Daphnia pulex: one gene and its partners. The main gene of each other region encodes a partner of the protein of the gene in region 6 in a complex. Links are inferred from orthologs where the notes say so. Each region holds a gene or a part of one and is shown on either strand. Other genes may lie near its edges.

What was found.
Region 1: mediator of RNA polymerase II transcription subunit 16-like (region 6) and mediator of RNA polymerase II transcription subunit 21-like share a complex: the UniProt entries of both Homo sapiens proteins name them as parts of the mediator complex. The link is inferred for Daphnia pulex from reciprocal best matches to the Homo sapiens genes MED16 and MED21.
Region 2: mediator of RNA polymerase II transcription subunit 16-like (region 6) and mediator of RNA polymerase II transcription subunit 20-like share a complex: the UniProt entries of both Homo sapiens proteins name them as parts of the mediator complex. The link is inferred for Daphnia pulex from reciprocal best matches to the Homo sapiens genes MED16 and MED20.
Region 3: mediator of RNA polymerase II transcription subunit 16-like (region 6) and mediator of RNA polymerase II transcription subunit 8-like share a complex: the UniProt entries of both Homo sapiens proteins name them as parts of the mediator complex. The link is inferred for Daphnia pulex from reciprocal best matches to the Homo sapiens genes MED16 and MED8.
Region 4: the proteins of mediator of RNA polymerase II transcription subunit 16-like (region 6) and mediator of RNA polymerase II transcription subunit 24-like are in contact, whole or in part, in a cryo-EM structure (PDB 7EMF), measured with the Homo sapiens proteins. The link is inferred for Daphnia pulex from reciprocal best matches to the Homo sapiens genes MED16 and MED24. Residues at the interface, in NP_005472.2 of Homo sapiens: His29, Cys30, Pro31, Ser32, Arg52, Asp54, Asp55, Gln56, Glu82, Asp102, Val126, Glu127, Gly128, Asp129, Pro130, Val184, Ser185, Leu187, Thr203, Glu204, Ser205, Cys207, Arg208, Leu209, Arg210, Gly211, Arg212, Asp232, Gly233, Ser234; in NP_055630.2 of Homo sapiens: Ile539, Leu540, Asn541, His544, Pro545, Glu593, Arg629, Met630, Leu631, Gly632, Leu633, Asp634, Glu635, Asp676, Gln679, Gln680, Thr681, Ala682, Pro702, Pro703, Lys704, Arg705, Pro706, Ile707, Lys708, Glu709, His737, Met738, Gly739, Gly740.
Region 5: mediator of RNA polymerase II transcription subunit 16-like (region 6) and mediator of RNA polymerase II transcription subunit 4-like share a complex: the UniProt entries of both Homo sapiens proteins name them as parts of the mediator complex. The link is inferred for Daphnia pulex from reciprocal best matches to the Homo sapiens genes MED16 and MED4.
Region 7: mediator of RNA polymerase II transcription subunit 16-like (region 6) and mediator of RNA polymerase II transcription subunit 23-like share a complex: the UniProt entries of both Homo sapiens proteins name them as parts of the mediator complex. The link is inferred for Daphnia pulex from reciprocal best matches to the Homo sapiens genes MED16 and MED23.

Annotation. Positions count from the first base shown.
Region 1 is NC_060027.1:1,945,710-1,949,062, forward strand, and holds mediator of RNA polymerase II transcription subunit 21-like, read right to left. Parts: upstream 1,668-3,353; 5' UTR 1,575-1,667; coding exon 1,533-1,574; intron 1,457-1,532; coding exon 1,244-1,456; intron 1,167-1,243; coding exon 1,005-1,166; 3' UTR 928-1,004; downstream 1-927. Other genes in the region: nudix hydrolase 8-like, read right to left, coding at 1,844-2,023, 2,092-2,318, 2,375-2,585, 2,649-2,740, 2,809-2,977. UniProt on the Homo sapiens protein: Component of the Mediator complex, a coactivator involved in the regulated transcription of nearly all RNA polymerase II-dependent genes.
Region 2 is NC_060026.1:11,659,351-11,664,060, forward strand, and holds the end of mediator of RNA polymerase II transcription subunit 20-like, read right to left. Parts: intron 2,915-4,710; coding exon 2,649-2,914; intron 1,531-2,648; coding exon 1,420-1,530; intron 1,203-1,419; coding exon 1,110-1,202; 3' UTR 1,105-1,109; downstream 1-1,104. UniProt on the Homo sapiens protein: Component of the Mediator complex, a coactivator involved in the regulated transcription of nearly all RNA polymerase II-dependent genes.
Region 3 is NC_060023.1:11,386,312-11,390,245, reverse strand, and holds mediator of RNA polymerase II transcription subunit 8-like, read right to left. Parts: upstream 1,940-3,934; 5' UTR 1,802-1,939; coding exon 1,778-1,801; intron 1,712-1,777; coding exon 1,571-1,711; intron 1,512-1,570; coding exon 1,415-1,511; intron 1,350-1,414; coding exon 1,222-1,349; intron 1,162-1,221; coding exon 939-1,161; intron 871-938; coding exon 770-870; 3' UTR 732-769; downstream 1-731. Other genes in the region: early endosome antigen 1-like, read left to right, coding at 1-54, 122-297, 366-599; probable 28S ribosomal protein S25, mitochondrial, read left to right, coding at 2,054-2,297, 2,352-2,439, 2,504-2,672; male-enhanced antigen 1-like, read right to left, coding at 3,927-3,934; protein CutA homolog, read left to right, coding at 3,366-3,447, 3,505-3,691, 3,766-3,851. UniProt on the Homo sapiens protein: Component of the Mediator complex, a coactivator involved in the regulated transcription of nearly all RNA polymerase II-dependent genes.
Region 4 is NC_060019.1:9,364,330-9,367,177, forward strand, and holds the end of mediator of RNA polymerase II transcription subunit 24-like, read right to left. Parts: coding exon 2,752-2,848; intron 2,695-2,751; coding exon 2,517-2,694; intron 2,448-2,516; coding exon 2,350-2,447; intron 2,283-2,349; coding exon 2,066-2,282; intron 1,984-2,065; coding exon 1,835-1,983; intron 1,775-1,834; coding exon 1,533-1,774; intron 1,447-1,532; coding exon 1,256-1,446; intron 1,188-1,255; coding exon 1,050-1,187; 3' UTR 827-1,049; downstream 1-826. Other genes in the region: bestrophin-3-like, read left to right, coding at 1-549, 616-812. UniProt on the Homo sapiens protein: Component of the Mediator complex, a coactivator involved in the regulated transcription of nearly all RNA polymerase II-dependent genes.
Region 5 is NC_060026.1:12,376,101-12,380,232, forward strand, and holds mediator of RNA polymerase II transcription subunit 4-like, read right to left. Parts: upstream 2,606-4,132; 5' UTR 2,482-2,605; coding exon 2,414-2,481; intron 2,121-2,413; coding exon 2,006-2,120; intron 1,950-2,005; coding exon 1,830-1,949; intron 1,771-1,829; coding exon 1,599-1,770; intron 1,538-1,598; coding exon 1,236-1,537; 3' UTR 1,090-1,235; downstream 1-1,089. Other genes in the region: beta carbonic anhydrase 1-like, read left to right, coding at 1-51, 117-256, 321-560, 619-704, 766-889; transcription initiation factor TFIID subunit 13-like, read left to right, coding at 3,788-3,883, 4,038-4,132. UniProt on the Homo sapiens protein: Component of the Mediator complex, a coactivator involved in the regulated transcription of nearly all RNA polymerase II-dependent genes.
Region 6 is NC_060021.1:617,922-622,766, forward strand, and holds the start of mediator of RNA polymerase II transcription subunit 16-like, read right to left. Parts: upstream 3,128-4,845; 5' UTR 2,969-3,127; coding exon 2,877-2,968; intron 2,793-2,876; coding exon 2,637-2,792; intron 2,573-2,636; coding exon 2,374-2,572; intron 2,299-2,373; coding exon 2,058-2,298; intron 2,004-2,057; coding exon 1,839-2,003; intron 1,764-1,838; coding exon 1,420-1,763; intron 1,343-1,419; coding exon 1,186-1,342; intron 1,115-1,185; coding exon 907-1,114; intron 847-906; coding exon 704-846; intron 639-703; coding exon 439-638; intron 371-438; coding exon 178-370; intron 1-177. Other genes in the region: delta-aminolevulinic acid dehydratase-like, read left to right, coding at 3,439-3,560, 3,631-3,877, 4,491-4,611, 4,683-4,845. UniProt on the Homo sapiens protein: Component of the Mediator complex, a coactivator involved in the regulated transcription of nearly all RNA polymerase II-dependent genes.
Region 7 is NC_060019.1:10,887,418-10,892,270, reverse strand, and holds the start of mediator of RNA polymerase II transcription subunit 23-like, read left to right. Parts: upstream 1-1,648; 5' UTR 1,649-1,745; intron 1,746-1,915; 5' UTR 1,916-2,003; intron 2,004-2,226; 5' UTR 2,227-2,447; intron 2,448-4,853. UniProt on the Homo sapiens protein: Required for transcriptional activation subsequent to the assembly of the pre-initiation complex. Component of the Mediator complex, a coactivator involved in the regulated transcription of nearly all RNA polymerase II-dependent genes.

The DNA of each region.
Region 1 (3,353 bases), on a different chromosome or scaffold from region 6:
GTTGGAAAAAAGAAGTGAGGGACCTTTGCGAGCTGCACTCTTCCCCCTCTCTTTTCTTCATCTTCCTCCTCCCTTTTAGTATTTTTTGTTTTCTTTAAAGAAAAACATTTAAAAAAGAAGAAGAAGGGGGGGATATACACACACACACAGTTGCTGCCCCGAAGCGGTATGCGGCGCTTCTTCTATAGAACTAATAAGACTCTATATATTCCCCAGTTATCTCATATTTATCCTGAGCAACATCAAAATTTACCCTGGAAAATTCGTGAAATAAGAAAACAAATTGTTCAAACTCACCTGAAATTCTGCCAAACGTAATCTTCTCCAAAGACATAATCGCTGAACGCAGACACTGTTGTTGCATCAAAAAAGGGTTGGGGAGGGAGAGAGAAAAAAAAAGGAAGTGGGGAGACTGAACGCCACCCACTTCCAACCCCCTTTATTTTTCCCCCTTCTTACCGAACGACCGGAGATCGCCGAAAGGGGTCGGAGAAGATGGCAGCACTATATTTATACACACGGGAGAATTTTTTCTACTTCTTCTTTTTTAAAAAATAAAAAGCTAAACAACATTCTATCGTTTTTTTTTTCTCCTCCTCCCGCTCCCCCCTCCTCTTTTTTTTTGTTGCACGCCATTCCTAAACAAACGGACCGCGTGTTCTTTCTCTTCTTACGAGTGAACAGCAACTTCTCTCCCCCCTTCTTTCCATTTTGGGTTTTCTAAAGGAAGACAAAAAAAGAAGTGGATATATAAAAGGTTGGAATCCTTTTCAAACAGTTTCTTTTACAATCTGTCACCCCATCTTCCTTCCTTCCTGAAATGACTTGCCTCACCTGTGTGTGACAAGAATGTTCACTCAATATGATTTTGAAAAGAACAGATTTAAAATTGATGTTGTGGCGGAAACCAGAAATGAAACGAAATTCTTGCAGAGCAAATTGTTTGTTTCATTTTCTTCTTTTAAATATCAAAAATAGGGAACTAGAGCAAATAATGGTTGGATTTAGGAATTTGGACCTGTGCTCTGCATGGCCAGTTGGGTCTGTGCAATGTCGTGAAGTGCATTCTGAATTTTCTCGAGCATCAGCTCTCCTTCGCTGACAACCTCCCTCAATCGTGCAGCGGCACTTTCATTTTCATTCTCCAGCCTTCTGAGACTTGCAATCTGCAGCGATTGAATTAATTTTAGTCAACTTCGTAGAACATTGCACCGACAGAATACTAATAGAACCAAGTTTATACCTGCAGTTCGGAGGTAGAATCTTCACTGGGTAGTGAATCGATTAGGACGTCAATATCTTTGGCGCAGCGGGCAATCAATGTGGCAAAAAGAGAAGCGTGATCTTCTTGTTGTTGTTGAGGTGTTCGATTGCCTGCTCGATCGAAACCTGGGAATGTAGCCGGTGGGGCGGTTTGTTGCAAAATACCGATGGCATTGCAGAAATTATCAGCTTGCTAGAAACAGAGAATTAAACCACGAATTTGAGACGATACACTTGGCAATTTCGTCAATGCAATCAGTTATAAATACCGCATTTATAGCGTCTTGGAGTTGTGTCAAACGATCAGCCATTGTTGATGGAAATGCAGAGATGAGAAAAGCAGATGTGCCGGCTATTACGCCACCTAGCGATGAATCTGATAACTTCAATGCCAAATTTAAACATTCACAACCTGTATTGTGAAATTAATTCTACATTCTGATGATTACAGGAACTGGGCAGTAATTTACCGATCTGCATATATAATTTGTTAAAACAACAATTCAAGCTAAATATAATGCGTTATCTGATTCCCGTAACAGGCACTAAAACAAAATACTAGAACGTGATCCTGAACACATTACAGTTTAAAATTTTGTTTTCCTTCAACTAAGTAAATTTGGCTATTGCTATTAGTCAATTGATGGATAGATTCCAGGCAGTTGATTGCGGGATTATCGCCATCGGCAATCGCCATTAACTGTGTAGCAAAGATTTTCCCAACTTCGAAGGCAAGCGGATGAGTCGCATATTCTTTCAGCTAAAATATTTAAAATTCAATTACACAGACTAGGAATAATTGAAAATGTTGACATTTAGAAAACTAACCGGCATCCAACAAGCGTCGCTGAGCTCACGAGGACACATTTTGATTTCTGTGCTACCTTCAACAGGTCTGAGATAAGTCACGAAATAAATGTCTGAACAGCCGAACCTTGCACTGGGATTCTTCTCTCTTGATTGCAAATGCCGCACGGCAACGAGTGAAACGAACTCTGTCTTAATACCAGTCTCCTCAAACACCTCCCTCTTGACAGCAGTAGCAATACTTTCCCCTGTAAATTTAATAATTGGTAATGATTGAATGTTAATGATGTCTAAATATACATACCTGGATCTACATAACCACCAGGGAGTTTCCAGTGTGGTCTTTTGTAATACCTTTCCTGAACCACAAGAATCTCATTCTTATCATTGACAACCATGGCTCCAGCGCCTACCATTGTGTGTGCATAACTAGGCACTTGACAAGGTTCGTCAGAAGGCAACCATTTGAGCAACACACTCAACTCTGGGTTTGCGTGATGGAAAGAAAAGCCATTCTAAGAAAATGAATAAGGTAATGCTCGTGCAGTTTTGACTAGCAATAATTCTTCTTTGACTACCTGAATTAGTACTGGAATCCATTCAGCACAGGTTGGTTCCACTTCAAACCAGACTCCACGAACTCCAGTGGTGGACCAGACTTGCAGAGATTCTAAAAACAAACAAAACAACTATTACATAAAACAAATGATGTGTTAATATATAAAAATAAATTTGCACCTTTAAGAAGCTGCTCCATTCGGTTCCTTTCTTGTGGCTCTTCGCTCGAGCGCACAATGATTCCGCCGAAAAGATCCTTGGCACCTTGGAATGTCGACATTTTAACAACAATTGATTTCGTCTTGGCCAGAGCGCTGCTCAATAAATGACGAGCAGCAGTAGCATTCATAACACCCGTTCAATAAATATGTCATCACGGCCTATCTCTTCATCTATACACAGAGTCCTTTTTATTCTAGAGGCAGGAGATATCGTCCAACGACATCGTATAATATTTATGTTGACATCGTCTGCACTTTTATGTCCCGTGAATCCGAGTTGCCACACATTTTCCCTCTCTTTTCCGGCTTCTATTGTAAATCTCTGCCTGTCTTTTCCAACAATAAATGATAAATAAATGATACAGACACTTTACTAGAAGGGCATGAAATACAAATGCCAAGATTATGTATCTATCCATTTTTTCTGCCCATGTTATTTCACCAAAACGACCTGGCAAGTTGCGAATTTCGACCGCTAGATGGCCAAGTTCGTGACAAATCAAC
Region 2 (4,710 bases), on a different chromosome or scaffold from region 6:
TCCCCTATAAATAATATGGCACGACGGCGACGACGGCGGCCACGGTGTATAGAAAAATAAATAAATATATACCGGGGGGGGGGGGGAAATGCCACAGGCGTGAAATCAAAAGAAGCCAAAAGGTCAGGATAGATAGATGGAAAAAGTTGTGTGGTATCAGGTATAAGCCGGCGAACGTCTTGCGCTGCTATTCCAAACATGTAAACAGATCAAAAACAGACGCCGGCAAGAGAGAGAGAGTGTACACATAAACAACACACTTCAAGAGAGTGATTTCGTACGCCGTATAAACTGCTGTTAGACTATATATATATGTATACAGCCCTGCTGGAAATAGCATCCACCGTCGCTCTTTTACTTCTCTTATTACATCAGAAACTGTCGACTCCTCTGTGACCCCCCCGCAATCAAGTGGCACGACGTCGTCGGAGTCTCTTGTTTCATTCAAACCGAGAACGATATCAAAGCAGATGGAACACGACGGCATACACCGTGGAAATCTCCTTTGTGTCTAGTCAGCAATTTGAATTTTTGAAATGGGGGGAAAAAACCGCGCCATTTTTTAAATAATGTTCAAAAAATTCCGGGAAAAAATGAGGATAGCAAATGGCACTTGGTACACACACACACACACAACAGAGAACCCCTAATGGCCATCCATTGAGGTGATGATGTGTTTGTTTAGAAACGGGAAGCCCACAAAATCAACACAATAAAAGAAGAAGAAGAGAGAAAGTTGTCCTCTTGATTTTTCTTGTTGACTTAAAGTTTTTTAAAAAAAGCGCCCGGAAGAAAAGCGGGAAACTTTGAAAAAAAAGTCCAAAAAATACAAGAAGGGTCGAGTGTGTGTGCAAAGGTGGGCGACGGCGGTTTTTGAATCAACACGGTTAAAGAGAAAATAAAATAAAAAACATTTAGTTTTTTTTTCTTTTTCCAAAAGGATGGATAATAGAGTTGTACCCAAGTAACATAGAAAAACACCGGAGCGGCGGAGTTCTTTTTATTTTCTTTATTTGTATTTTTCCTTTTTTATTTTGTTGTAGCAATGGCGCGTTTTTGTTGTTGTTGTGTAAGGGCAAATAGAGTTGTTGTTTGTTGTGTTTGTCGATCTATCGGATGCCGGTGGTTTTGCGGAAAGCGTTGAACTGCTCCAGGTACTGATTGATGCCGTCGATAGTGCCCAGCATGTCGCCGAATCGGCTCTGATGGTCCGTCACGGAACAGAAAAAAGATTTATGCATCCAGGAAAAAAATAGAGAAAAAAATAAAAAAAATTTTGTTAGACGAATTGGAATAATAACAACATGACGAAAGGCAAACATCGTAAATTCTTATTTGATATTGATGGGGATGAAGAAGAAAAAAATAAAATAAAATTGTTTTGAGCCTATAGACGGGCAGCAGGAAGAAGGAGCAGACCTGGATGTACGGAGGCGGAGTAGATGGGACGCAACCGCCCAAGAAGCCCTGCATGAACTCGCGGATCAGATCCCAACAGGCGGCCGGCAGACTGCACGCTTGATATTCCACCTGTCAAAACGGATGGCAAAAGTTATCTCTCCGATAGAATCGATCGGGAAAACAAAAAAATTGTTTCTCATCCATATAAACAGACCCTGCAGACGTCGCTGGCTGGCTGTTGTTATTATTGTTGTTGCGAGTGTCAGCGGGAGTATATGAAATCAATATTCAGCCGAGTCAGAAAATGTTCGCCCCCAAAAACTCATTTGAAATTCCATGACATCTCAACAACAAAACCAAAAAATAAAATAAAACGAAACAAGGAGAAGATGAGAAGAGCCCATGACGTAACAACACAGACGGAGAATATCACGCGCCTTCCAGTTGTGCCGCGTTTTTCTTCTCTTTTCTTCTCTTCTTCTTCTTCAATGGAAAAAGAGAAATAAAAAGGCCCCGATGGTTGGATGGATGATCAATTGTTTTGTTCACAACATCAGCCCGCCCCAGCGCCAACACACTCGGCTCGTGTACGATAATAAGAGGCACCCAAAAGAGCGAGGAACTCTCTCGAGTCACGAATAATCAAAGAACCAAGAAAACCAAGAAAACGAGACAGAGTCTCTTTTCTTTCTCCCGTTTTTCACATCAACATTGACTCAGCCCTTCTCTCTCTGTGGCTCTATTCAAGCGTCCATCATCACAAATATTAGCCCAAACCCGTCAGAGCCAGCTCGTAGACTCGTAGTGATTTGATCATTTCAAATAATTAAATTTCTCCCACCCAACCCCACTTTTAATTCAATATTGACAAGCTCATTAACTGTCTGAAACCTTCCCGAGTGAAATGAAAAGAAAAAGAGGCGCTTGCATATTTAGTGCTGGATGACCGAAAACGGAAAAAAAGAACCATCACGCGGAGATTGTAAACACAGAAGAAGAAGAAGCTGGAAAAGCTCTAGCTCTAGCTCTCCCTCCACACACAGAGAAAACGGATGTTGTCAAAGGGTTTTCTTGTTTTTCAAGAGGCCAGAAAAAAGCCTCTCATCATTATTACCTTGTAGGGAAAGAAAAAGGGAGACAATCGACAGCGTCAAGTCGAGATAGAGATGGAAGTTTTTGATGTCGTTATTGTCTATGCACTAACGTGGGATATTGGTTGGTTGGTTGGGTTGCTGTTTAATGTATACCTCGACTAGGATGCCCTTGAAGGCCGGTCCCATGGTGACGGAGCCGAGCTTGACGAGGAAGTCTCCGGCTTCGAAGCGCGGCCCTCTCGATTCGATCTTGGTCTGCTTCTTGGCCGTGTAGAAATTGGAGAGCTTGAGCATGAGCAGGTCGAACAAGTTGTCGGCCACCAGGGCCACCGTCTTGTTGCCGCTGGCCGCCTCCAGCAGAGCGAACACGGAGGCCGGCGTCTCGGAATTGTGCAGCAAATGCACCGATCTCGGCGCTCCTGCCAAATGAAGAAACCAAAAGTTTAATGATTTTAAATAATAAAAAGAAAATGAATGATAAAAACACATTGGCGTTTAACCCTCCCACATCACAAGACATGAGAGAAATCAAATTTCCTACGAAAAAAAGAAATTGAGCCAGATTGGCAGTTTGCAAAAACAAGGGCGATAGACAAGTTGATGGCGTCATCAGTCAAGTCCCGCCGGATAATGATGATGGCGCCTAGCCCCCCGTCTGTCTCTTTCTCCTTTTTTTTCGGATTTTTTTCCATCTCGTCGGAGGATTTGGTTGGAAATGCTCGCAAATGGCAACTCGAAAAAGCTTGCGGGCAACTCTCCAACATGTCAGATAAACCACAAACAGCCGCAGCCTTCCGTCGCCCCCGTCTCTCTATTCCTCCTCTTCCTCCTCCGCTACCGACGACAACAACAACAACAACAACCCCCACGAAAAAAAGAACTAAAGCGCACGCCAAGTGTCGGGAGGAAACCTTGGGCATTAGGGAGAAAGAGAAAGAAGAAAACAATAACTATGCGCGCCAGTTGTTCTCAATCTTCAACGAGTGTGACGTCAAACCTCACCATCAACTTATCTCTTCTTCTTCTTTCTCTTTCCTCCTCTATTTCCACCCCCGACGGAGGGAGAAAGAAAGAAAAGAAAGAAAAAATCAAACAAAACAAGGAAACCACAAAAGCACGGAGTCGGTAGGCAGTCATGTGTGTTGTTGTGTTGTGTATAGCAGCTGGGCGGATCGGTAGCGCCCGTCCACTTGATATCTAGACGTGAAGCAGGTATATCTCTCTATATATTCGTGCATGTGGATATACATATAGCCAGAAGAAGAATATAAGAACAAGGATTCCTCTTCAGATTTTCCTGCCCACATTCTACCCATTAACTGCGTTGGTTATTTTCAAAATAGAAAATCAAAATAAAATGTTTTTTAAAAAATTGGAAGCTAAGAAAGAAGAGAAAGAAAAAAGAGCCATTTGAAAAAATACTGCTTCGAGATAAGACATCAAGTGGCTTCTACTTCTTCTGGGATTCTTTCCAGCCTCCCTCTGCTTTTTTTTCTTTGGTTGGAAATAAAAAATCAATTCTATTCCAATACGCTCTCTCATGACGCGGGAAACTTAAATTTTCAGTGTAATTCAAATGTCTTTTTTTTTGGGGGGGGGGGGGAAAGAGGAGGGAATTTCAAACGTGGAAGAGAAGGAACTCTGCGGGGAGGAGGAAATCACTGTGTGTGCGAGATTTTCTTCTTACTCCGACCGGAGCTGCTGCTGTTTTTTGGGATGGGGGATGTTGTTGTTGTTGTTGGACCCCGGCTGCAAAGTCTGCGTCTGTCTCTCACACGAGATGAGGCTGGAGAAAAACTTCTTCTTCTTCTTTAGGCCCAATCGGTTCGTGACACGCGATATCTCTCACGAACGATTCCCACACCACGTCGCAGAGTTAGATCAAGAGAGAGGCCCTGACCAATCTCAATCGAGTAGAGATCCCAAACACCCGACAAAAGGGCAACCAACCCAATGTGCTTTCTCGCTCACTTCTTCTTCTTCTTCTTCTTTTACAAGGAACTTGGTGATATTCCATCAGGCTCACATCATCCCCCCCGGTAATAGGATACATCTTCTTTTATTTCCTGGTGTGGTGGCTGCTGCTGCTGCCCTTTTCTGTGTTAAACCAAATCAATCCAGCTCGTGAATTATTCAACGCATTCCAATCAACTTATGGACGCTTCTTTTCTTCTTCTTCTACTTCATGTATAACCTCCTCCTCTTTCACCTGATA
Region 3 (3,934 bases), on a different chromosome or scaffold from region 6:
AGCGCTGTGAAGAGTTACAGGCATCGGCAGAGAAATATCACACACTTAAGATTGGTATGATTTTTTTTTTTTTTAATTTGGGTTTTGTTTTTAATGGTGCTTAAATCAATTTCCAATGCAGAGCTTGAAACTCGGGTAGCGTTGCTGGAGGAGGGAAAAACAGAACTGCAAAACAATTGCAATCAATGGGAGAATGAAGTGGACAGACTTAAGTTCAACGCTGCTGAACTACGTCGTCGCCTAGAAGATTCGCAAGCTGCTTTACACGAACTCGGCCGAGAAAATCAGAGTCTTCAGGTATAAATAAAAAATCGACAAACATTTTCATTTATAAATTGACAAAATGGTTTTCTTCGTTACATCAGATGGAAAACGCCAAATTGCAGGGCCGAAAGTGGGCGGATGATTCCGAAGTGAATGATTGTCTGAGCTGCCAAAAAGGTTTTAATCTAACGGTTAGGAAACATCACTGCCGCAACTGCGGCCAAATCTTTTGCAACGAGTGTTCTAGTAAATCGACTGCCGTTGGTAATAGCCGGAAACCCGTCAGGGTTTGCGATTCATGCTTTAAGGAGTTGACTATAAACTCTCCGCGCTAAAATACTTATTATATTCCGTGTCGCCCTCCCCCCCTTTTTTAATGACGTTAATTATGAGTGTTTATGTTCAGTTTACGATGATTGAAGTGCTCCATTTGAGATATTATAAGGGAGGCGTGTTTGGTATTCTGATTTCAATATGAAATAAATGTGTATTTGGTCTAGTCCTATTATCTGTTGTATGGGTGCGCTTGGCTGGCCGCTTTGATGGTTGTCTTGATAGTACTTGTTGTTTTCCCTGGAGCCGGACCAGGCTGTGCGCGTCCTGGACCTTTATATTGAAGACGATGTGTTGGAATTTTTGCAATTTTAGAAGCAAAGCAAGCATAATTAACTCACCAGGTTGAGTTGGAGCAGCTGTAGGAAGGGTTTTAAGGTTCTTGCCCAATCCCACAGCAGCAATCAGAGCGTGCGTATCGGCTATAATACAAGTGTGGGCTGCATTTGCTCGGACAGTAGCTTCATTTTCCCAATCTTCTCTTGAATGTGTTATTTGCTCCAAAACATGATTGACCACTTTATTCATTGCATTGATTTGCTTTTGTGCTGTCTCTGGTGGAACCTTTAACAATAAAGAAGTTGTAAGATTTTATGTTATTATTTCTGTTAAAAGTATTCTTACCTGTAGAGCACGTTGTTCAAATTGATTTTGACGTTGTTCCACATCTGGATCAGGTTTTGTTCTCAGCATATCAGGTGTTATGTCATGTGAAAAGGCCACAACACGCCCTTCTGTTGCTTGTTTGAGCTCTACAAATAAATGTTTGATGATAATCACTCATACCAGCAAGTATGCATAGTAAGTGCAACTTTACCCTCATCTGGATCAGGGCTCAAAACTAGAGGTAAAACTATGAGGTTTCTCAAAAGTGGAGTTTTATCATTCTTCATAACTTTCAGCAATGTATTCATCTGGTTTGACGATTTAAAATTAGTCTGAATTACTTGCTAATGTCTTAAGCATAATTTACCTGGCCAGATATAACGGCGTAGCTATCCAAAACAGAAGGCCAACTGAGGGATCCATATTCATTTTCCAAACGAAATAACAGAGTTCGGATAGAAGTCTTTAGGTCATTAATTCGCTGAAGCAAAGCTTCCAAAGCGGCTTCCTGATTTGAACGTTTTTTGTAAGTTTGGGATGAAAATTTACCTCAATTCTTAAATTATATAATTACCAGCTGTTTCTCTTCACGCTGCATCTTGGTTATAAATTATGAGAAAGCTCTTTTAAGTTTTAATTCACATAAACTGATGTGATGCTTTTGTAGCTTGCTGCTTGCTAGCTTCAACCAAATGTCAATCACAAAAATGTCGTCTGCGTTTGTTGCATAAGCCCTCTAGTGTCAAATTATCAAGACTTAGCCATTCCGTTGGTTCGTCTGCTTGAGAAATTATTTGTTCAAGTTCTCATTATCATTTAGGTCGAGTAAAATAGTTTTTCCCATAATAAAATGCCGTTTATGAAAGGTCCTGCTCCGATCCGAAGAACTTTGGAGTATTTAGACCGAAATAAGTTGGTGTTAAAGGATAGAGTCAAGATATTTTCGATCAACTACAACACAAAAGGTGAAAATCACGAAGGTGCCCGACAATTCGTGTTTTGGCACTTGCCTCAGTTACAGTACAAAAACCCCAATATTCAGATAGCTACCTTCAAGAACTTGACTCCTAGTCCATTTATACGGTGTTATTTAGGTAACTAAAAAAATATTACATTTTTTTCAAATAAGTAACAAATTTCATGTTCAGAAAACGGGGAAGAGGTTCTAATGGATGTTGATTTCAAGTCAAAAGATGAGATCTATGAAAGAGTACGCAGGATTATTTGCAAATCAGAGTAAGTTGTTGAAACAATTATGTAAGATTAAATGCCAAATAATTATTAATTGATTGATATCTAGAGAAACACTGAAAGCTGAGGATAAAATAGAAAACCCAGCTAATTTTGGAGCTAAATGCAGCAGACATTGCATCTGTGAGGTACCTGGTCAGTTACCTTGCCCAGCTCTTATTCCTTTGCCAAATAGTTGGAGAGGAAAGTACAAGTTTCAAAAGCCAGATGAATTATAAATGAATTACAATTGCCCCACAATGTAGTCAAATAAAAAAAAATTTTTGAGAATATTATGCAATTCTGCTTTTATTATTAAACTGTTTGACAATTAACGTAGTTATTGCATTTGAGGAGCCATTAAGTCCATGTCGACACACTCGCGTGCAATCTTTACTCCCAAGGCGAACAAAGCCACGCTCTTCACCAACGACCTAAGATAAAAAAAGATTCTCTTAGTGAGTGTTTCATAAGTTAATGGGATTATATAAAACTTACCATCTGAAAGGGTCGTTGTAAAAACTTTTAATGAACTGCATTTTACCAGCTTTTTTGTTTGATCTTTCCATAGCAGCTTTTAAGATTTACTTTGGTTGTGATAAGCTTGAGAGTTGAAGCAGACGGTTTTTCTGATTATCGACATTGCGAAGTATGCATTACGCAAATAATTGATAAAAACTACTTGGAACTAGAACCAGAAAATTTAATCATTTTGCAAGTGTTAAATTAAATTGTATCCATAATGTTAAAAATAATATGATATCAATATTGTTGAATAATTTTTTTTGTTGTTGCGAGAATCGTTCCTCCTTTGTTTCTCGATCGTGTGATGTCTGCTTCTGTCAATTCTCGGCTTCTCGCGGTCGTCTGAAAAGTGAAAAATGAATTAGCCCCTCGAATAGCTAGTTGTTGTTGATTCCGAATTTGACAAAATGGACTTAATAGAAAATATGACATTTCGAACACCAAAACAAAAAGCTTTGGTGTTACAACTTTATAAAGATCTTAAATTCGGTATAATGTTTGTTAATATTCTGTTGTTGAATTTTCTTTTCTCATAAACTGTTTTAGTTAGGGGGAACGAAGATGTGAAGATACATCAGTGTGATGAGTTGGATTTAGTGTACATTACAGGATACTTGCCTGATGCTGAGAGACAACAGGAAATCTTTTTGCCATTAGCTGCAGATGAAGCAATTTCAATGAAAAAAATAGGAGAAGTTCAAAAATGTCTGTTTCATCGACACAAATCATCAAGGTAAATTATTGTTTCATCTAAGGCTGCTCAGGTTTAAACAATCAGATTAATTATTGTATTTGATTCACTTAAAGACTGACTTTGGCACTAATGGATTCTGATTCCACTACTGTTTATTTTGGTGTAACACCTGGCTTATTACCTCCATCAGATTTGGAGGGTAGGAAATAAATTGATTACTCATCACATAATGAAGACAAGAATTTATTTTTTATTTAATAAATCAACAATTTTACTAGTCAA
Region 4 (2,848 bases), on a different chromosome or scaffold from region 6:
CTAGTATGCCTGGAACCAACCGAGCGATCACACTTTTCGTTGTGTCGCTCAAAGAAGAAGTTGCGGATGGTCGTGCCAGAGTTGACCTGTACATCCGTTACGTTCTGCTTATGTGGCTCCTCACATTCCGCATTGTCTGCCAACCATTGAGAAAAAGATATCCTAATCTGATGGCAATCCAGAATGCAGGATTACTATGCGAGAACGAACGACTTTTACTGGAAAAGCACAAAGGGCAGCCTGGCGGTACTTCGAGGACGTGCTCTCTAGTCGTCTACGATTGGTTAAACGGATTGTTGCGGGACACTTCTCAGAAAGGATACTTTTTCGTTGCTAATGATTTCGGTCGCAACATCGATGCTATCCAGGCCTTGAAGAAAGGTGGTGGAACAGTAATTAAATTTGCTACAAAGAACATTCCTGTTGCCCTGATTCAAGCTGTGACAATTGCCATCTATTGTTACGGACTCGTGTCTATATTGTCCCATCAAATAGCGGAAAAACATTATTTGACATCGGTGATGAGTGGTTATTTTCCGTTGCCCTACGGTACGAATGACCACAAATTTCAAAAAGTGTTTTGTTGTTTTAATATTATACCTTTTATTATTGCAGCTTTGCCATTCTTTTTTTACTATGCCTGGCTCAAAGTAGGCCGAATTGCCACTGACCCATTTGGTAACGATGAAGACGACATCAATATGCTAAACGTTTTCGAAGGCCACATCAATGGGGCGGTACGCTTGCGCAACTCCTACGGGATTAAAATTCCAACTTCGACAACAGAAGACAGCCCCTTCTTTTTGACATAAGCTAACATAGCTGATTTCTTACTGAAAATTCATTATATTCCGAAACTGATGTGAACAAAAATTGAAAATTACAATTTCTTGACAATGCGAATTTTTCGTTCTCTCAGATTTCCACAGTAGGCGAAATGCTCAGAAGGTGATTTCCAGCAAAATTATAAGAGTATCGTCACTTTGAAGTCGGTCAGCGAATACTTTTTGAACAGAAAATTGTTATCCATTTCTGTTCCTTGTTGTGGACTAATTTATATTCTTGAATGCACAAACGATCTGCGCAGCGATTTTCCCGACACCCATTTCATCGCCGGGATGAGCCAACAGTTTGGCAACATCTGAAATGGACATTAACCCGGGCCAAACGGCAAGCATGTAAAACACCTTACGGAAGTAGAAAAAGATTTTGAAAGAAAACTCCGACGTTAATTTTGTAAAAAAAAAAGATTTACCAGAGCTGGAGGAATTAAGGTCAAAAGAGGTCTCATGACTTCTTTGGTTTTGATTGAAGTTATTTCTGCCATCGTTTGAATGAAATAACTAATGAACGCAAGCTGCGGAGTAATAATGCCTTCACCAGCGGCTCGGGTCATTAATTGCATTAAATTTGCAATTGCATTGGAGAGTGGATTATTTTCATGGGCTGAAAACAAATATCAATATGTCAGGGTTTCAAATAATCTTAAAAAAACAAACAAAAAAAAACAACAAAACAAATCAACAACTTACCGCTGTTAGGAGCTACAAACATAAAGTCAAATTCCTCCTCATGAAGAGCCATCTTTTTCAAAGGAGGATATCGAAAACCCGGCGTATTCATATCCCAATCGATTGAACGTTTTGAACCCAACTTTTTGGAAGGGCTGGATGAGTCGGATTCTGGGGCTAACTGGTTATTCAACGCAGCGGTAAACAGCAGGACAGTCAACTGGGCTAACGCTTTGCCGCCTGGTCCACCGGTTTCTTCGTCACTGAAATAAAAAAGGAATGTTAACTGGGATTGGCATTACGCTGAGGCCAAACCCTTTTACCTGGCCAGCATTGAGGAGTGAGTTAGTAGGAATGGGAGTACTCTGGTTGCTAAAGAAATGGCACAGCTTTCTAAATCTAAATGTGCAACTGACAGCGCTCCTTCGACGCACCGTTGTCTTTTGTCAGAAGATTGCTCTTTAATAACTGCCTGCGAGACACAAAGAAAGGACATTCAATCGCATACCCATACCTGCTAGGCTTGTCTAGGATAAAGTTCTTTGATTAAGTACCTTGACCAAAGAAGTGACCAACCATGTTGCTCCACCAATTTTGAATAGTTGATCAATACCCACTGTTGTGCTATGGTCTGACCAACCATGATTTAAAATCTTATTCCATAATTTGGTTAACTGATGATCCAAACTTTGATCTTGATTCTCTGAGACGCTTTGTAGGGGATTGTCGTCTTGTGCCAGACGCCGAATGATTTGCAGCATCAATACTGACCTTAATGGAAAAAAGAATTTTATAGTGAACGCGAAAAATCATTTGTTAGGGCATTATCGTAATTTACCTTTCCCTATAATGCTCTTTAGAGTCATCAAGATTCAGGGAAGTCATCAAATGATCGAGCATGCTCGTGGGCTTACTTTTCAGATTTGCTGGTTGTACCTAAAGGAGATGTCCACCGTATTTTAATTCGAATCTTTTTGATTTTTTTTTAATTGGATCTTTTCTTACTTGGATGTAAAATCGAAGCCAAGCGGCAGCACAAACAGACAGACAGCACATTTGAGTCCGTAAAGTATCGAGAATCCTTTCAACTTCTTCATCAGAAACTAATTGTGATTCGTAAGCCCCCAAAATTTCCCGTATTACAGCAGGGACGTGGAAACAAGCTTCGTGCCATCGAACGCTCCTATGAATAGAAATGGGCTTATTATTTTTCAAGAAAAAAATGGCGAGATTATTTTACCCTGATCTAAGGTCACTCTCTCCAGATGTCAAGGCTTTCAATAACTGATCAGTCAACATGGGATCGCAGCGACTTAATGACAAATCAGGCGCCTGAT
Region 5 (4,132 bases), on a different chromosome or scaffold from region 6:
GAATGCTTCCAACTCGATTTACACAAACAGATGTTGGTGATATGTTCATAGGTATGTTAAAACACAAGTATATATACTGCTTGCTTTTTTATATTCCTGGACATTGTAAATATAAGTTAGAAATGCTGGTAATCTGGTTCCTCACTCGAAGCTGTATGGAATTGATTCAGCTACCACTGAACCAGCAGCCCTGGAGCTGGGGTGCATTGTAAATAATGTGAAGCACATGGTTGTTTGTGGACACTCAGATTGCAAGGTCAGTCAACCATAAACTTGTTAAATGATAACATAAACATAATGACACACAACTTTTGTTTCAGGCTATGAACCTATTGTATAGTTTTAAAAAAGGAATTGAAACCAACATGAGAACTCTCGAGAGATCTCCACTTAAAGCTTGGCTTCATCGCCATGGTAGTATTTCTCTAACTAAATTTGAGAGGTTAGAAGTGCATGGTTTCCAACAGCCCTTGACTTTCCCAATGGAGGGACCATTCAGACAATTTGTTGCCTACATAGACCCTGACAATAAATTTAGTCTAACAGATAAGCTCTCACAGGTAGAATTATGCCAAGTTATGTAATGTCTACAAATCTAATTGGGTTATCTTTTTTCAGCTCAACACATTGCAACAACTACAGCATATTGCCAGTTATAGCTTCATTCAAAGTGCCATAAATTCGGGGCGAGTACACCTTCACGCGTATGTATCATGTATCAAACGTTTACTCGTAAGTGTTTAATGTTGAAATTTATGATACTAGGTTATGGTTCGACATCTATACCGGAGACATCTACGTCTTTAGCCGCAAGCAAAAACGGTTTGTGGAGATAAGCGAAGAGACATCCGATTATTTGCTCGATGAAATACGCGAATACTTTGTGTGACCTTAACCGACGTGCCTCGGGTTATTATGCTGAAGAATATATGGAAATCTAGGTATTTTTATAGAGATGACGCACATCTCCTGAATTTATATGGGGAGTTCGATTCTAAAGCTATTTTGTAAATAGTGAGAAGTTAACTATAAAATAAATTGTTGCATAACTTTATAATGGAAAAGAATTTGAACAATTCGAAAAAGGAATTGCACAAATATTTATCTATTTTACGAACCTTTGAATGAGGAAGGTTTTCAAAAAGAAATGCGAAAGTAGAATAGTATACAGGATGGTTACCAACAATATTAAGCAATCGCGCAGGATACAGAGTGTAAATTGTTAGCTCACGTGTTTACTGAGAATCGGAAGATGAACTGCTACTCGAGTCCGTAGACATAACGTCGACATCTTCATTCTCTTTCTTGGGATTTTTGTGATCCATTCCACCACTCACACCCAAGTGTGAAACTGACAAACAGGGCATTTGCAGGTCATTTTGAGATAACCAACTATAAGTGCCTGCTTGAGAATTCGGAACTGAAGACCCCTGCTGCAAAGAATGATTAGGACGATGCAAAAGTTCTGGAAAACTCATGTGTCCATTGACATTCATTTCACCAAGACGGCCCAAAAATCCTAGCCGCATTTCAATATCTGAAAACCACCACAAAACAACATGAAACTACTGGACAGCAATTTAAAAAAAAATTTCTACCCGTGGGATATGGTCTGCGTAAATCTCCTTGCTGCCAATTCAAAGGAGCACAAACAGCGTTGGAAGCCGATATTCTGTGAGCAAATTTTATCAACTCTTCGGAATTTACAGGTCTGTTATTCGCCCGTGTGATTGATTGCAACTTTTGCTTAGCTTGAAAGATTGCAGTAGCCTGAAAAAGAGTAAGTTTATGAAATACTAAAACCAACAAAATAATTAAAAATAGCTTACTAATAGCTGCTCTGCCTCCTTAAGCTGCTTTTGAAGATTTCGAATCTCAACATCATGCCTTTCAACTTCTGTCTCTAAGGCAACTACTTTTTGTTGTAATACACCTTGTTCTTCAGCCAACTTAATAAAAGAAAGAATTAGCATTGAAAAAAATTATGAAAAACAAATAATTTTACCTTAAGTGTTGCCTTAAGATCAGTGTCTTTTTGAAGAACCAATTCAACAAGTTGAGAGTGTTCAGTACTCATAGGTTTCTGCTGCTTCTGGGCTATTAAGTTGTCCAAAAGTTCCCTAATAAATTAAAAAGATTAAGTTTAGTACAGTGACAATTATATTTTGGAAGATTAAAATTCAATAATCAAATTCAAAACAGTGTATGATACAAACGAGTGTGACAAAGTGTTCTGAATTTCAGGTAAACAATGGTATGATTACCTAATAAGATAAATAAATATATCATGCTAATGAACAATAGATAGATCTGAGGCTTTAACTTTCATTAAAAAAATTTTGAAGGAAGAACAATTGCACTACGTGATCAAAATAGTCGACGAACAAAGGCAGCCAAATCAAGAAAAACTTACTTTGCGATGATTTCGATATCGTCGATGCAAGTAAGCAATACTTCTCTGGTACTTTTTTGAGAAGTCATGTCTAGTTATTTTTATTCCTTTTTATAGAAATAGTTATAAAAACAGGTAAGTGAAACTTTCCAATCAAAATTAGTTTTTCTTGAATGCGGCTCGGCTACGGCTGCAACAACAACTAGAGAAGTGAGGTTGCCATATCTAGATTTAACCTGACCACGTATTTTTTTAAATTTCCTTATCCTTTATTTATGGATTCATTCGGAGTCGAATCACCGCTCTACAACGTGATTTCGTTAAAAGAAACTAAAAAATATAATAGTAATGAGATATGTTTGAAGTGTATAATAATGCAACACTGGCGACGATTTATGAATCGAATTTCGTAAACATAAACAGACAGCAGGAATCCGCTGTTCCGCTCTTGATCGTCTGACCCGCCCAAAGTTTTCCGAGCAATTTCTCAAAAACAAACTCCGGAAAGAGTGAAAAGACATTCATTTGTTTGCTTGGGTGAGTATATAGTCCAGCAATTCGACTTTAGAATCTCCAGTTATGAGGACTTTAAAACACATTTTGTGTTACAGATTCTTGGTTCAGTTCCTGTCTACAAGAATGTCGAATGACAAGTCTGTCAAAGTTAAGGTTGGAGAAGAAGAACGAGTATCGCAAAGTTTATGCGGTTGTTCGGTCGGAAAATTTTGGAAATGGAAGTACAGTGTCCATAAACAATGAGCAGAAAAAACAACTAGGTATAGAAGGAGACTATCATGCCGGGCATATCATTGCCAAAATGCTTGGAGGATCGGGATCGGACGTAAATAATCTCGTCCCCATGCACAAAAATTTCAACAACAGTGCCTACAAATCTTTCGAATTTGAAGTCCGCAAGATGATTGAGGATTCTGAAAAATTTTACCCCGGAAAACAAGTAGAAGCTCGTATCACTGTTTCCTTATTTTACAATCAAGGTTCCAATAAACCATATCGAATCAAGTATGATGTTGCCATGTACGCTAACGGCGTAGAAAAGCCGAGTTACGTTGGAGATTTCAAACTGAATGAAAATGGACGACACTAATTTAAATCGAGGAAATTTTTGCTTTGACGCTTTTTGCAGAGCTATAACTCTGGCTTTTTGTAACCAATAAACATTTTTCAATGTTGAATGCGTAATCAGGCGCCGCGCAATGTATTTTTTTTACAAGAAAGCAGATTTTAGTACGTACAAGAGTGCTTTTACAGCCATCTGGCAACCGTTTTCGTTACTAACCTACCTAGTGTCTTCTGCAGTGGTTGATTTGTTGACGTTTATTGCTCGAAAATTCTCCAACCCACTAACATTTACTCGTTTAGTAATCAAATTTCAAAATGTCTTCTCCCTCGGTGAATACTTCATTGACTTCGTCCCCACAGAAAGAAAGAGACAGCAAAGAAAGAGAAAATCCAGATGAAAACTATGATCAGGTAATTTTCTTCTTTTAAGTTACATTAAATCTTAAGTAATTTCCAGCTGAAAGTTTTGCTGGTACATATAACATATTGCTGGTGGAAATTTTTGTATTTAAATTTGTTTTAATGCTTTACTGTTCATTTAATTTCTAAATGTTTCAATTTCTAGTTTGATGATGATGAACCTGATTTGCATTATGGATCCACTTCATCAGGCAGAAAGCGCCTCTTCAGCAAGGAACTTCGTTGCATGATGTTTGGATT
Region 6 (4,845 bases):
AAATATATTCTGATTTTCTGGGCTACGAGAAACGAATTTTTATCGAGCAAGGAAGTGGTCGATCCTTCCGGACGTGGCTGGCGTTAACCACAGCCACCACTGATTTGTAACTTAAACCTGACAACCGTTGTCGGTGCAGCAACAATCTCTTGAGGAAAAATTTTGAATAAATATTACCTAAAAGGCTTTCATCAGGTTCTGATGTTTGAAGAAGTCGAGTTAGAATGCGAAACAGTGTGGCAATGACATCAACGTTCTCCATGTAGCTGAAAGTAGGCAAGCACGAGTGACGAATCAAGCCCCAAATCCTGAATATGACCAATAGTTCTCGAAACATATTGAGTAGTTTAGGGTCACGTAGCATGTCGCACTGAAAGAATTCCAACCGATTTAATAAAACGCTTTTTATTACGAATAATTTGAAACGTCAAATATTACCATTGTTCCTCGTGTAGTGGTTGCAGTTCGCCAATCGGGCAAATTGTTCAATAACCTCAAAATAAAGGTGACTGTCCATTGAATAAGATGTTGCACTGTGATGAGAGTTGATGCCTCAACTGTAAATTCTTTGACTTCCAAGTGTAGCAACACTTTGTCAACTTCAGTGCCGACCTCTGGAACTTTGGAACTCAACACAGCTAATTGAAAATATTGAGCACATGTTACATGTATAGAAATGGATGTTTAATCATTAATTATTTACCAGTAAGGCTATCTGCAGGAGCTCTATCTTGATTAAAGAGCTCTGATGGTGGCCTCAGCAGCGATTTCAGTGCGTAATATACTGAGTTAAGCATAATAATACCGTATTGCAATCCGGCCTTTGAACTCGCAGTTGGACCCAACCTTTTAACCAAAAATTGTATCAATTACTAATGGCACTCGTAACAAAATTCTATTAGTTACCTGAAGATAGCCAATTTAATATTGAGCAATCTATATTGCAGCAATTGCTGTAATCCAATAGATTGCTGGTTGAAGGAGTCGGTTAATCGTTCACACAGGGAATCCAGCATCGTCGATCGCAAACCGATAAGAACGTCCCAATAGTCGATACCAGTCAGCAGACAATACTCCAATGACATTAATGCATAAGGAATGGTGACCGAAGCTCCTACACATAATTTGTACAGTTTAAAACTTATTTCATTCAGATATTTGCCGAAGACTATGCCAAAATCTTACCAGGATCTGTGATGGGAGAAAGTTTGCAGACAAACATTGTCGCAGTGTTATCGAAGGCAATCAATGCATTGCCAGTGGCAGTGAAACACGCCGAGCTGACCGTTTTCGATTGGGCGCTTTCACATTTCGACCTATCCACAATGCTGAGGTGTCCAACCTGAAAACGTACCGTGTCCACATGAAATGTTATTAATTTTTGCGCTATTCAACGTAATCTAGATAGACAATATCTACCTGCTTCATACTCTCGCGATATAAGCACAATAACTCTCCACATACTGTGGCGATGACTAAATGATGCTGTGGAGGGCTACCCGCTTCTTGGCCGTTTACCCAGACATTGCGTGACGGACAGACGTAGGTGATTCGACTGTTGCAATTGAAAACGGACATACACTGCCACTGCAGGAAGCGACTCATGGCAGCCGAAGTGGAGAAGAGTGAATGAATCGTTCGTTCAACTTCTGACAGCTCCCAATACTGCAGAGTTCCACTATTAATTCCATTTACTACTAGGAATATTCCCGATGGATCTTCTCGTGAACTGAAATTCACACCACATACACGCATTTCGTTGGCTAATTTTGAAAAGAAAGACACCTTCAGTATTTAAAAACCAAAATCAAAATGTTCGATATTTCAAGCAAATTTACCTCCTGACTGCAGGGGGAAAAGTCCAGTGAGTGTTTCAGAACGAAGACGATATTCATCAAGAAGGCAACTGAATTCCACTCCGTCATCTTTTTGAATGGTAAGCTTGCAATATACAATCGGGTCCAAAGGGATTCCCGTGCATGCTACGGCTAATATTTCTCCATCTGAAAGACCGTACATGAGTTAAGAAACTGGTAATGAATTAATTACTCAACTACCTTTTGTCCAGGCAAGATCCACAAAGGAATATGCTAATCGTATTCCGCCAAGAATTTCTACATTTGTTGTTTTCCCTTTAGTACCACCCATCACAAAAGCTTGCACAAGGCCAGTCATTCCAACAACAAGAAAACCTTGTAGAGGACGACCTCCGAATCCGCGAATAGTTGGTTTCATATCTACTTGAATATACTTGTCCAGATATGACACACTTTCCCGGTTTTGGCAATTTAAAAATGTCTAAACAAATTTGAAAAAAAAAAAAAAATGTAAAGGGTTAATTTGAAAAATAAAATTACTTCAACTGTATATTACTTTCTTTCCGTTAAAGAAAAACATTCCAGCCTGGATTGGCTCATCTGGAATGCAAATGTTAGCTACTCTGGTCCATTCATTCAAAAGATGTGTGAGTGTTGTCCAGATTTCTGCATTTCCCGCAGTATCACCGATAAGCAAGTAATGACCAGATTGGTCCCATTCCAGAACAGTTACTTGTGCCACACAGCTCTTAACACTAGAAAATAAAACAGAATAACTTTTCAAATTTTCTGAACTAGTTGTTAACATTTCAAACTCACATATGCGTATCCCATGGGGTATTAGCGTCACAAACAACAACATTCATGTTTTGGTCACTTGGACCTGCTGTACTACTCTTCAGTGTTCCATAACAAGCAAATGCTATAACATTTTGAGGAGACACGGCACACGCTGTGACCCCAATATCAGACTCACTGCAAAAGATAACCACATTTTATTAAGAGTTATACAATATAATATTAAAAATAGCACTAAATAGAATGTGAAGGGGTTATCACTTTTCCCACGGAGAATTGCCCGTGTTTAATCGTTGGCGTTTCCTGGGGCTTTCTTCATAATGACTACGTCGGACAACAGCGATCAGATCCATAATATATGGAAACACGAATTCAATGCAGAGATTAAGACAATCTGCAAATCAAGTAAATATTTTTTGGATGACAGAAATCAACGCGACGAATAGATAAACATTCAAACAACGTTAGCAGCCATTCCAAAAAGACCTAGCAGACGCAATATTTCTCTGAGCTCTGCGGCGCCATCTAACGGAGCACATTACAAATGCGCTGATTTGATTTTGATTATTTTTTCCACATGAAACTCGCACGAATCGCAAAAAATTATAATTTGATGTATACGTATAAATGTTTTTGAATAAATTATATTAAATAATTATAAAGTACATTTTATTTGGTATAAATTTTCCGAAATTAGTAATATGCAAATGTAGTACGAGGATAGATTGCAAGACGGGAGTCTGAGTAAAGAAGAGCAATCTAGTTTGGGCATTCAGTGTGCTCAGTTGAATTGATTCAGTAGTCACCACAAGATTAGTTAAGAATGTCTGAAGTCCCAATAACACATATCTTACACAGCGGATATTCTCACGCGACTCTACGAGCATGGCAAACTTCCGATACAACAATTAAACCGAACAATTTGATGTACCCTTTATTTATAGTGTAAGTAACTAAATGCAATTTCATTATAAAAATTTAGCCAGACATTAATTTACTCTTATATAACATAAAGAGATGACCCTGAAGCAGAACAGGAAATTAGTGGGATGCCTGGCATTTATCGATTCGGAGTTAATCGTCTCGAAAATCATTTAAAGTCTGCCGTCGCAGCGGGATTAAGTTCTGTCTTGTTATTCGGTGTGCCATTTTCAATGCCGAAAGACGAATTCGGTTCGGCGGCTGACCATCCTGAGAACCCAGTCATTTTGGCCATCCAAAAGCTTCGACAACTTTTCCCCGATCTACTCATTGCGTGTGATGTAAGTTGTAGCGCAATTTTATTTAAAATCTTAAGTAATTCCACTACAATGTTATAATATTAAGGTTATACAGATTGAGGATAGAAAATTCAGGATAAATGTTTAGAGATAATTCTTTGGAGTTTTAAGTTTTGGTTAACCCTGATAGTCAATCTTATCTAGTTTGCTTTCAAGTTCATCACAAACTAGCCGGTGGCGTATCAAGTAACACAAGTCAGGCACACACAGATGTTCCATGAATAAACAAAAAACCCTACAGGCGTAACTGTCATCCAACAGTTTTTCGATAAATAACGTAGCAAAATGTTGATTAGAGTTGTTGCTGGACAGGCTACATATTTCTACTATGCAATGCCCGCTAAGATCTGACTTACTTTTAGAATTATTTATCCAAATTGCCAAATTTCGCTACCGCTGAAATCTGACATTTCCAGTACCGCAGTGCGGTGCTTCAGTAGTGCAGACTAATATGAATATTGTCAGCTACGATCGGTGTCTGGGCTAATTCGAACACAGACCAGCTTCAGTCAATGTTTGAGAATTTTCTTTATCTAACGGAACCCATCCTTTTTTATTCTGTGGGAATCACGCCTTGATTTATCTGTAAATGCAGGTATGCATTTGCGCATACACCATCCATGGACATTGTGGAATCCTCTGTGACGACGGTACCATAGATAATGCTGCCAGTGTTGCAAGGTTGGCTAAACAAGCATTAGCATATGCCAAATCAGGTATTACTTCCATAACTAGATAGAATTTTATCCATTATTTTACCTTTTTAAATTGCAAATGGTTCGCAAAGGGGCCCACGTAGTAGCCCCTTCCGACATGATGGACGGCCGTGTGGGCGCCATAAAAAAGATTCTGCAGGACAACGGTCTGGCCAGCCGAGTCTCTGTTCTCTCCTACGCTGTCAAATTCTCTTCCTGCTTCTACGGGCCCTTCCGTGATGCCGCGAAATCGGC
Region 7 (4,853 bases), on a different chromosome or scaffold from region 6:
TTCGTTCGAAACGAGCTTAGTCAAGGTTAAAAATCTCCTCACAACGTTTCGGTAACACTAGACAAAGAGCGTAGAACATTCACGTGTTGTTGACGTCACATTTCCTGGATATCTCACGATTTCACGTCCACGAAAATGTCATATTTATTGGTTCACGGAGTAGTACCAGTCTATCATGGGTATCTTTCACACCGTTTCCGGTCTGTCTGTTAAGTATTGAGTGGTTCGCGTTGCTAGTAATATATCCCAATTCTTTAACAACTGCGATTGTCAAATAGGAAACCGTCTCAGAGGGACTCTGAATTTTTATAGTAACTAGACTAATTCCTCCCTCCAGCAAACGGTCCGTGACTGGAACTCTAGGCGCAAGCTTTGATGTTTATGGGCACTATCACGAAAAAACAGCCTGCGGCCTGCAGACTTCGAATTCGCCGCCTCCCAAAAGAAAATTTATTCTTCTATGTATTTGTGGTTTGTGTGGATGTCTATGTTGGCGTTCAATATTTGCTCAACCGAGCGAATCCTCAAAGCAATAGCAAGTTTGAATATATACCGGTAACCGCCAGTAACTGGTTTGCCTATACCAAGGTCGCAGGTGGGACGCAAGAACAGAGCAGCAGTTCACGCAGACATATGGTTCGAGCGTGAAGTAGAGTCGACCTTGGCAACAGATCGCGACATCAAATTCCTTGTTGGTCGTCGTTCCCGAACGATTTTCCTGGAGGTAAAAAATGCGTTGATTGCGAACGAAATCTCTTATTTGAGATCGAGAACTGGTTGTGAAAAATTGGAAACACCTTTTTTTGTTTCTTTCTTCCAGATTCTCAAAGTTTTCTTGAGAAGAAAAATCATTAAACGTGTGTTACAGCTGACATTTCGAAATTCTTCTCATCACGCCCTTGAAACTGCTGCTGCTGCGCTCGTATGCAGATGAAGTCGCGTGAAAGTTCGTGTTCAATGTCGAAGGGCCTTTTCAAATTTCTAGTTCTATTGGAGCTTTTTTGCACAAGTCCATGATGGGTATAAGATGTTACAGGATGACGAAATATCTTTAACGCTTGGGGTTAATTCATGCGTGATCGCAAATTTTTAAATTTCAGGCTTTTTTGACCGATAATTTATACGGTCTCAAAAAATGCCACAACAAGCTGAGCTTATTTCCCGAACGACATTTGAAGGATATAGCCTTTTACGTTGATAGTAGTATAATATCCTGGTATTTGTATGTAAAGATAAGAATTATTTTACACGGACGCAAGAAATGCTATTACAAGCGGAATTTTCCCGAACGACAGTTGAAGGATATAACCTTTTAAGTTCATGGTGGTATTATATCCTGGTATTTGTATGTATTATGTTTGTATATGTTTGTAAGATAAGAAGGAAATTATTCCTTCTTGGCAGTCATTTATCTGCGGGTTTCGTGTAAATATTGAATTTTTTTCTTGTCTGTGGTAGGGTTATTAGATCATTCTAAAATAATTCCGATCCCTTTAGCGGATGTCGAGTGCGGGTGGGAAAACCACTTTTATCGTATTTTGAGTGGGTGTTTTTTATATTTGTGGATTTTTTAAATAATTTATATCGATATTTTAAGAAATAAATGGCTAATTAGGAAGTTAGCGTCGTCTGCTGCTTTTGTTTTGTTTAGTTTCGAAATAAACGTGGTCGTGTCCACTCTGTGGTCACATCTCTTAGGCCTACTCTCTTTACAGAATCACTTCGTACACACGGCTGATTACCAGGTAAATAAAACTAAGAATACCTATAGAATGACTATAGAAACTGAATTTCGAAGAATTAAACCTTTTCCAAATTTTTTTAAATGTTAGTTCGTCCTGACCAGCATTTATCATTTAAGCCCCTCTGTCGATGCATGGCAGTTTGTTTGTTCACTATGTAACCTTTTCCTTAGTGCATATTTGAGGCCAGAGACAGCCATCAACAAGATATGATGTAACCATAGACCTGTCATCAGCAGCAATCTCAGCATCATCGCTTAGGTAATGATTTTCATTACACCTTACTTTTATTCGAGTGGTGTGTGACCTGCTAGATACTTTAATTGTGCAATGTAATGCAGGACTTGCAAAAATGCAGTGTATTACATGTAAACCGTCTGTTTATTAACAATCAAGTTTTACTCACTGTCTCATTTTAAACTATTCCTTGCTTGTTGTTTCTGCAGATATTTTTTCGTAACCCATTTCTTATTTTTTTAATTAGTTTAACAGCATCCCGTTTGGATTCTGGATTGAGAAACTATCGATGTTGGCCATGTTACGGGTCTCTTCTTCCCTTTTCTTTAAACGGCCTCGTGTATGCCCATGTGAGTGTGGGTGTATTCACGAGGCCGCCCTTTAATATCCTATTCAATTATTCTGCGGATGGATGGAGAGCACTTGTGGATGCCTGTCCCGCTGTCCGTATATTTCCCAGGCCTGAAGGTAGGAAAAATGTATTCCTATTCTTTATTTTTTGACTGTTTGTTGGTGTTAAATCGTGACATAGTAGCCTACGGAGTACGATTATTCCTGAGCTAGATGCGGTTAACTGGAGTAGGTTCTCTTGCGGTTTTTGTTTACTCACTATAACTCAGTAAGGGTTCATTTAGGCGAAGTTTTTGTTTACTCAGTAAGTAAGAGTTCATTAAATTTTAGTGTTGCAGAACGACTGCAGGTCAGACCCAGTTTTGTACCTTACAACTTTGTCTGTTGTTGGTTCACAAACCTCAAATAAAAAAATATTTGAACTTTAAACACTTCCAGCAAAGTGCAACTAGAATTTATTTTTTTTCCCAAGAGAAACCTGCTAGTTTTATCCAACAAATCCTGTTCGAGGAACCTTCCAGCATGACGGTTAAAGAAATTCGATGCACAACGCTGACGTCATTATTTTTCCCCGGTTTCGTTCGCCTCAGGAAAATTGCCTCCGTCAGCCACAATTTTTTTTTTATTCACTTGACGTCATCAACATTCATTGTTTGACGTCACACTTGTGCGTGAGTCGATGAGGGGCGCGCCAAAAACAATTAAGTGGTGGTTCTCTCAACGCCATTTCGCAACCACGGGTTTTTCCGGTCACGCTTATTGTCAATTTACCTCACACGTTGACACCCGCGTTATTGTCCTATTTTGAGTTGACAATTTTTTGTTCACATTGTTTCTCCTCTTCTTCGACGAAATTGTTCTCGGTAAAGTGACTTGCTAACTCGACATTTTACACTTTCACGTAAAACAACTTCAGGTGTTGTTTGGAAATAGGGCAGTATAAGTCGACTAATTTGCAAAGATACTATAATATATTGTTCACACAATAGAGATAGCGGATAGTCACACTTTTAGCAAATGTTGGCTAAACGCCTAAACCTATAATGATTGGCCTAATTTACCATTCCAGCACCGCCGCCTATTGTCAACCAGGCGGTGTACCATTCGTTCACAATGGGGAAAACATCTCGGCAGGTTTCACGACAATTTCTTTGATTTTATCTTCTAACTTTCTTCGAATTTGGGTTTCAGAATTTTCGAAAACAGTTAATTTATTGTATTTTTCCTTGTCGCCACATTTTTCTGCTTTGCTTTAATTGTACCGGTCATCAATCTTACAACAATACGACGTGTTGCAGCACATATGCGGCTCGGGAGATTCTACTTCCTCGAGTTCTTTGTGTCGGGATGTTGTCGTAGTGAATGAAGGCGAATAAAACTCCAAGGGCAAAAATCTTAAAAAGGAGTTTGGACTCTGTTAGGCACTTTGACACAGCGATAACCACCATATACGTAAATCTCATGACAAAGAAAAAGGTAGAACTCGATGAAAACCGGAAAAGGCGATGTGGCATTTGCTGAATATAGCTTTAAACTATTAACAAAAAAAACATCTTCCAGCCGACCGGTCTCAGACAAGTTTACATTAGCTTTTTCATTGACATTGACTTTAAAGGACCTTTGACACATTGCAGAGAAAACTAGGTGTGGCGTTTTGAAAATCGAAATATTGTACCGATTTGATTCACCGGATTCATTCGCAAATTAAATATTTAATCATTTTGTATCTTTTGCAAGCCGGAGCACTGCGAAATGCGAATACGAGGCTTAGAAAAATTAATTTGGCGTTCACACAAACACAGTTGCAATCGAAAGCAAATAAAGCATTGAAGGTGACCTTCGAAATAATGTTCGAATCGTTCGCGATGCGAATTTTTAAACACCTTTACAACATCCTCAAGCTTTCCGCTTTGAGGGCCGTCAGGTGAAGAATGATTTAGCATTCATTTCGGCGAGTGTCTATGTGCTTTAATAGCGTGATTCTCACATTGGATATCACGTAGGCACATTTCTGTTCGTCTGACTTGCCAGTCGAGTCATCGTGAAAGACAAATTTCCTTGCAGTTTTTATTTTGTATTCTTTGTTTGATTAATTAATGTCAGAAATAACGTTAATCATCTCCTTGTTCTTCAGAGTTATAAGGGGATTTTGGATTTTAATTTGAGAAAATATTTCCCGACATAAACTTTCTTATTTATCCATCCTTTATTTTTATATCTAGCCTAAAGGATGAGTCGCGCTCGGGGCTTGTTTTTAAGCTGATATAAATCACAATCACATTTGGGAGGACGTCGCTTTGGGCTACCATCCGCGCCTTTTACGTCGTTCTTTGTAACTTTTAGAAAGAAATTAAATTCAATGGAATTGTGCAAGGTCGTTAGGATATTTTTCGGAGCTTTAGACTTCCTTATTGCTACGTGTGTTGACCATCATTGCATTGAAACAGATTTTCAACCCGAAATATGTTCTTAAACCATTGCGAAATTCTCTCTGATGCTTATCACCTTCAACGTGTGTGCGCA